Linked DNA regions of Callithrix jacchus. The protein of the gene in region 1 binds, or shares a complex with, the protein of each later gene. Links are inferred from orthologs where the notes say so. Each region holds a gene or a part of one and is shown on either strand. Other genes may lie near its edges.

Evidence for each region.
Region 2: the proteins of OGDH (region 1) and TCAIM are in contact, whole or in part, in a cryo-EM structure (PDB 8I0K), measured with the Homo sapiens proteins. The link is inferred for Callithrix jacchus from reciprocal best matches to the Homo sapiens genes OGDH and TCAIM. Residues at the interface, in NP_001425937.1 of Homo sapiens: Gly301, Tyr304, Arg323, Tyr354, Arg356, Ile358, Arg364, Asn365, Lys387, Glu391, Tyr394, Cys395, Gly396, Thr398, Glu399, Lys401, Lys402, Lys561, Met602, Pro605, Glu667, Gly668, Ile669, Asn709, Met734, Ala735, Ser736, Pro737, Asn738, Gln772; in NP_001269842.1 of Homo sapiens: Glu214, Gln234, Arg235, Ser236, Trp237, Gly238, His241, Ser244, His247, Ser248, Arg251, Gln255, Asp272, Arg273, Thr286, Met287, Asp288, Val289, His290, His291, Glu331, Leu332, Gln333, Pro334, Val335, Arg375, Tyr376, Glu441, Ser443, His473.

The regions. Positions count from the first base shown.
Region 1 is NC_133512.1:12,758,503-12,762,317, reverse strand, and holds part of OGDH (2-oxoglutarate dehydrogenase complex component E1), read right to left. Parts: intron 1,950-3,815; coding exon 1,795-1,949; intron 1,317-1,794; coding exon 1,170-1,316; intron 554-1,169; coding exon 463-553; intron 1-462. UniProt on the Homo sapiens protein: 2-oxoglutarate dehydrogenase (E1o) component of the 2-oxoglutarate dehydrogenase complex (OGDHC). Participates in the first step, rate limiting for the overall conversion of 2-oxoglutarate to succinyl-CoA and CO(2) catalyzed by the whole OGDHC.
Region 2 is NC_133516.1:27,216,433-27,220,247, reverse strand, and holds the end of TCAIM (T-cell activation inhibitor, mitochondrial), read right to left. Parts: intron 2,245-3,815; coding exon 2,004-2,244; 3' UTR 250-2,003; downstream 1-249. UniProt on the Homo sapiens protein: May regulate T-cell apoptosis.

The DNA.
Region 1 (3,815 bases):
AATTTTGTGTTTTAGTAGAGACAGGGTTTCTCCACGTTGGTCAGGCTGGTCTGGAACTCACAACCTTAGGTGATCAGCCTGCCTCAGCCTCCCAAAGTGCTGGGATTACAGGCGTGAGCCACTGTGCCTAGCCTTATATGTGATTTCTAACCCCAGGAACCCAACGTAGAAGAATATGGAGGCTTTTTCCCAGGATCATTCCTACCCAGGGCACAGGGAGAAGGTCCCTCAGCCAGAGGGGATATACCCCTGCACTCAGCGTGGCGCTGCTAGACCTCCAACCAGAAGGTGGAACAGTGGCCCCCTCCTTTGTTCCAACACTAAAATTCTTCCAACAAGGAAGGCAAACCACAATGGTACAGAAGAATCAACCCCTCATAAGTTATTCTGAGAAAGAAGTGGAGCCGGGGGTCTCGTGTAAGTTGGGGCTCTGCTGGATGTGTCTCTACACAGGTGCCTCACCTCATCAGCTGCCTCCAGCTTTGAATCAAATTGACAGAAGATCTGTTCCAGCTCCTTCCTGATGACATTTGCAAGCACGTTAAGCCGCCCTCTGAAACGTATGGGCGAGTAGAGTGAGCAGAGCCCGAGGTCACGGCTTCCAGATGACGGGGAGGCTGTTATAATCCCTACCCTCTTCCCCTCCTCCAGGACACAGCACCTCCTCGGTTTGCAGCCCAAGAATGCTGTGAACTGGAGCTAATGTGGGCACTGAGCCTCTCTGTGCTAGACAATCAAGGCCACAGTGGACAACAGAAAGGCAGAAGATGTGGAAATGCCATGGGCCTGAGGCTTCCTTACCCTCCTCCCTCCCCACACTATCTCCGATTTTTGAAGTCTTGGCCTCCCCTCCAATGTCAGGAAGCAGCCTTTCCTCCAGCTTAACCCTCAAGGGAACCTGGGTTTAACTTTCATAAAAATGTAATGTAAGGCCAAATGCCAGTCTGAAACTACACGTGGCTCTGGCTGTGACAGTGACTTTGCAGTCTTCCAGAGGTAGGGAATGTGAGAATCCCCTGCAAAACAAGGCACCCGCAGGTATCAGATGAGCCCAGGCTCACAACTGGCACTTGAGAAGGAAACAGCTGTTCTCTCAGTTCTTTACCTGGTGCCTCCTACACACCCTGCAGGGATGGTGAGAAGGAGGTGGGGCACGCCCTCAGCCATACCTGTGTGGCATGCCCATGATCACGTAGTCCACACCGTTCTCACTTGACTTGTCAATGATGGTCTTGAGGGCAGGAATCAGCACCTCACAGCCTTCTAGACCAAAGCGCTTCTCAGAGGACCACTTCCGCTGTAGGAACTCCTCAAACCTGGACATGGAATAAAGTCACCTTGAAGAACAATGTCACTCTTCCTGACCAAAAAGAGGGGGCTCTGGGCCAGGCACAGTGGCTCACTGCACTTTGGGAGTAATGCTAGCACTTTGGGAGGCCAAGGTGGACAGATCACATGAGGTCAGGAATTTGAGACCAGCCTGGCCAACATAGAGAAACCTGATCTCTACTTAAATGGATAAAAATTAGCTGGCCGTAGTGGCATGTGCCTACAATCACTGCTACTGGGAGGCTGAGGCAAGAGAATCGCTTGAACTCAGGAGACGGAGGTTGCTCTGAAGGCTGACTCTACCTGCCTGGTGTCTCTTCAGACACGTGCAGCTGCAGCTTTGCCTATACCTCCCCAAAGCCCCTCTCACCTCGACCAACAGGCTGCACACAGGCCCAAACAACACACACAGGGCTGCTGCTTCCCTGGGGATGTGTGCCCCATGGCCCAGGGCCAGACCCATACCTGGTGGACCGCACAAGCCTGGCCAGCAGGGTCCGCTTCTCCTCATTTGTGAACTGCATGATCCCGGGGGTCTCAAACTTCTGCCGGATCCACTGGCACTGCTCCAGGTCATTGATGAACATGAACTCCACCCCAATGTGCTGGCAGTAGGCCATCTATTCCATACAGAAACACACAGGCAAGGGAGTTTCTAACCAGGCCTGGCTGAATCAAGAGTACCGACTGCCTGTTCAGCCAGAAGGTGGGAGGGGGAGCAGGAGGCTTGTTCTGAAAGGTACCCCAGTCAGGTATGACTGAGGGGGAGACGGAGTGGGTACCAGGCAGAGGTCCTCCTCTTCAAGTGCTTCCTTCAGGGACCTGGGTCACTTGCACACAAGAACCTCCTAGCCCTCCAAGGGCCAGGACAAGGAACAACCCCAGTTCTACTCTGGTACCTTTGTGGCAAGAAGCATAGACCGCAACAGTTGTGGAACTGTGTCCTTCCCCAGGGAGGACAGACTGTCATCAAGGTCAGACCTGTGCCAGCATCCATAACAGGAAATGCCCATAGGCTGTCATAGGCTCAATAGCTGTTTACGATTCGCAGTCTTTTTGTTTGTTTGTTTGTTTGAGGGAGGGTCTCTCTGTCACTGAGGCAGGAGTGCAGTAGCGCTATCTGGGCCCAATGCAGCCTCAACCTCTTGCACTCAAGTGATCGTCCCGCCTTATGTTTTGGAGAGATGAGGTCTCACCATGATGCCCAGGCTGGTCTTGAACTCCTCGGCTAAAATGATCCTTCTGCCTCAGGAAGCAAGACTGCCCATAAGACAAAAGTCAGGATCCTGAGCAGATCAAGATGTCCTGCACCATGTTCATACCCCACAGCTCAGGCAAGGAGGCAGCACCCAATCTGCAGAGCTCAGGAGGGAAGAAGCCAGGAAGAGAGGGCCAGGAGCAAGAGGAGGCACTGGGCTCTTAGAAATCCACCTCGGGAGAGGAGGAAAGACTGCCAAAAAAAAAAAAAAAAATCCATCTCAGGCTGCCCTCAGCCTGGTGCTCCTGTAGAGGCCCACAGCTCAACCTGCACAGCTGCCCTAGAGGACCAGAATGAAAGGATGAGAGCAAACTGCAAGTCAGCATGGAGTAAAAAGGCGACAGGCCCTGATGTGGGCCAACAGACACTCTGCAGACCCCAAAGCCGCGTCTAACTATCTTTATAGCAGGGACTGCTGCCAGCGTACTCAGAGTGTCAGGTCCTGCTCAGCAGCTCTCGTTTATGACCACATTTGGTTTTCACAACAGACAATGAGACCAGCTGGCATGAGCAGTTAAAAGATGTGCTGAATCTGAGACCAGCCCTGTGCTTTGCAGAGGGTGGGCTAACCCTGCATACATGCTCCATGATCATGAAACAAAGCAAACTTTGCCTGAATTCAAAATTAACCAACTGCAACACTCTAGTTATTATCCAAGTCAACAAAAGAACAATCTTGCCTAGAAACTAGAAGAGAAAGTGCTGCTAGAAAAGACCCTAGTAGGCCGGGCGCGGTGGCTCAAGCCTGTAATCCCAGCACTTTGGGAGGCCGAGGCGGGTGGATCACAAGGTCAAGAGATCAAGACCATCCTGGTCAACATGTGAAACCCCGTCTCTACTAAAAGTACAAAAAATTAGCTGGGCATGGTGGCGTGTGCGTGTAATCCCAGCTACTCGGGAGGCTGAGGCAGGAGAATTGCCTGAACCCAGGAGGTGGAGGTTGCAGTGAGCCAAGATTGCGCCATTGCACTCCAACCTGGGTAACAAGAGCGAAACTCCGTCTCAAAAAAAAAGAAAAGACCCTAGTAGTTAAGGTATTTTTATTAACCCCTGTTTGTCCCCCCACAAACCTCATGCTGAAATTTGGTCCCCAATGTTGGAAGTGGGCCCACATGGATGATGTTTTGGTTCTGGGGTGGATCCCTCATGAATACATTAATGCCCTCCTTCAGAGGTGAGTAAGTTTTTGCTCTATTAGTTCCTAGGAGAGCTGGCTGCTAAAAAGAGC
Region 2 (3,815 bases), on another chromosome or scaffold:
GGGTCCCTTTGGAGACCACTTCTCACCTGAGGCTTTGTAGAAACAGTGAGAGGGGTCTGCTCCTGTGCCAGCTTTCAGTGGGGGACAGAATTTTTCTTTCATGTTAGAGTGGGAGAGGAAGTCTGCCTGCTCAGATCTGTATATATGCTCAAATAGGCATATACAAGTACCAATTTCTTCTAATTTCCTGTTACACTGGAATATTTCTAAAACTACTAATAGTTGGGTAACAAGAAAAAAATTATCTGGTTGATGTAGATATTATTTATTATGTAATAGTTCTGAGACAAAATCCAATTCAAAACATATTACTGAGGATTCTATATTAGTGTATTTTAGAAATGCTACAACACAAACCTGATTTTCCAATACATTTTCTTACATAACATTTAAGGAATTTTTCACTATCATTATTTGGCTCTGGAAAATCTTCACAGGAGACATTTGTTACACTAGAAAACAAAACTGAAGTGTAGTTGTTACGCACGGTTAAAAGGGATGACGTACAAACTAGAATAATTACAAATCAGTGCTTCTTTTAAATACATATTTGAATGTAAACTTTTAAAATAATCAGTGTTTTAGATAAATATAAAACATACTTCAAGAACTGATTTTAATATCTCCTTTACTTTCTAATGCTCTTTAGAAAAAATTCCTTTCTGATTCATTCAGCAGCAAGAGCCCAAAATGGTGTTCCAAACCAGGATTCACCTTGTCCTCTTCCGAAATGATCTGAAGAGCTTTTGGATTGGTTAAAGATATTGCCAAAAGGAATCTTAGAATAAATCTCAGCTAAAAACACTGAATCCAGAGATCAGGTCTCTCGGCCATGCCAGAGTCACCATCAACCACTTGGGGTTAAATTACATTGCTATGAATGGAAGGTGACTCTGAGGGGCTTTAACCGTGCCGGGGCTGATGAAAGGGCTTCAAACATCAGCAAGAACAGTAAGATCATGGCTGAGAAGGGTGACAAGAAATCCTGAATGGTGTGAACCATTTTACACTTGATTCTATTTCCTAGAGCTCTTTGGGAAACAAGCAAGAATGTTCATGGATGGTGTGAGCCATGAAACAAATGGGTCACCTCGTTAAATGATTCAAAAACATTTCCTGTTGGTTTCATACTACCAACAGTTGAAATATTTTAATGGATAGGAGAAATTATGGGTTTCAAATTAAATTCTCTGTCACTGAAGATGTTTTAATAAACTGGTTATCAGACTGCGTATGACAATGTCAGTACCATATATTCAACCGCTTTCAGTCCTTCTAGTCTTTCTCTTGGCAAATTTGTGGTTATCTATTTTTTGCTACCTATGAATCACCTGTTTTGGACATTAACTGTCAATTACTGGCTGCAAAATACATGTGTGTGTATATACATGAGGTGTAACTATACCGGTGCATGTTGAATTGTAGACATGAGTTCTATTATTTCAGAGCTATCCTCTGACTCTGAGACCTGTTTATATTTACACACGTATACCTGTCCAGCCCTAACCCAACATTCATTCATATAAAAATATATGACTATTGTAGAATCTTTCACTTACCTATCACTAAAAATATGTTATTTCATTCTAACATCTTTTTATCTAGCCTTGCCAATCAACATCATAAGACTGGAATATAAAATATTTTTATTATTTATTTAAAATTATTATTATCTTTTGAGACAGGGTCTTGCTCTGTCGCTCAGGCTGGAGGGCAGTGGCTCACTGTAGCCTTGGCATCCTGGGCTCAAGTGATCCTCCTATCTTAGCCTCCCTAAGTAATTGGGACCACAGGCATGAGCCACCAAGCCTGGCTTATAAAACCTTTTTAAAATACATTTCCTAGCAGAAATTAATTTATTTTAAAAGTCTACTTTTAAAGCAGCAGTGAGAAACTTTGTTCTTATAATATGTAAATAATACTGTTATATCAAATTGTGGATTTAAACATTTTTAATTTAAGTTCCTTTCTTATCTCTTAAAAAAATAAAACAGATTTCTGTGTTATTTAATGGCTTCTCCATTCTTCCAATTCCAAGGAATACAAAGGTCTCCATCTTGCATAACAGAGTAAAAATGTGAAACACAGAGGTGCATCCCATGTAGGTAAGGCAGTGATTGTTCTAGAAGTCTCTTACAACAATCCACCATTTGCATACTAGAAATGCTGGGCTCTTTATATAACTTCTCCAGAGAAAATTTCTTTGTTGATGCCTGTATCAATTCATTTTCAATAACCTTTAACCTATTATATAGAGAATAAAAATATTGCCATAAGCTACAACCAAATAAATTAACACACAATGTAAACATAGTCTTACATACTGGGGCTATAACTGCACTCACAACACTGAAAATGCCACCCACAAAGGCCAAATTAAACATTTGGAAGGCATGCTGAAAGTCATCATGCATTAAATCTTTTGAGTTACTGCCATGTGAATCTCTAGAAGTATTTGTTCATCTTTTTAGCAGTAAAGGGCTAAAAATAACATAAAATTTAAAAAGCTCTTATATTGCCTTACCTAGAAGCTGTTAGTGACTGACGAAAGCAGAAAACAAATATAAAACCTCTAGCGTTAGGAGCCACCTAAAGTTTTACTCTTGGGCAGTAATGCCATCTAAAGATTTCCCAGATAAACGGCAGGCTCACAGCAAACCAGGATCCTGAGGACAGGAGCTCTTCACTCTGACTCTCCTATCTTACCAGCCCCCTGTCTGTTCCCTTCCTCTGCCTGAGGTTACAACCCTTTTATTCCATCAGGTGCTTCAGTTCAGGTCTACAAAGTATACGACTCTAGGCAGAACTCAGAGTCTCAAATACTTTCTCCCACAGGTGGCAAGTGCCTAGGGATATGGTGCTTTGGTAGGTGAATTCAATGTGCTACATCTAGACCAACACGTGAGTTACTCAGCAAGTCCATTTAACAAAGTGAGTCAAGCAAAACTGCCATGGTCATGTCCATGAACCGGTCTATTTTAAATACTTCCTTGGTTTAAGATGTCCAAATAGTTTATATTTAACCACCCTTAAACTCTGCATAGAAAAGTAGGTACTATAAAATTTCCATAAACTAGACAGTAAAAAACAGAAATGGTCATAGCAGTTAGTTATCCTGGCCTATAATACGAAATCCCTTCCTCTAACAATACCCTGATCACTTCTCAAGTGCTGCTTGCTTTTTTGTAAGATTCCTTCCCTACGCAGTGCTGCTTAGAGACTTAAGAAAGACAGACGAAAGTCAGGACTGATGGTTCTGAAAATGCCCCAGCTGGGCCTGCTTCTAATCTCTGCAGGATGAGACAGGAAGAGCTCTTAAACTTCTATCAATAGCAGGGGATGAGGAACTTTTTCTGTAAAGGGATTTTTCACTTGTCAGGAAAAGCGATACTAACAACTAGGCCTAGAAATGAAAAGCCTTGCAGTGTGACCTTGTTGCTGCATAGTTCTCCAACAGCACATCTTTAAAATCTGGGCAAGACTCTCATTCTCATTGCTTTCAGGAGAAGCCTACAGCCTCATCCCCGAGTTTCCCAGACTCATGGGTCACAAGCTTTCTATCAGGAGAATCCATCAGTTCTTCTAGGGTATAATCTTAGAGAAGCATCTAGTCCTGAGAAGGCAGCCCTTGGTAAGGTTCCCCAGGGCTGTCCTCTCAACAGAAAAATAACTTGTATCAGCCTCTCCTCATCCTTGGATGCCTCTGCAGTCTGCAGGAGATTAATTTTTTTTTTTTTTCTGAGACGGAGTCTCACTCTGTTACCCAGGCTGGAGTGCAGTGGCACGATCTTGGCTCACTGCAACTTCTGTCTCCC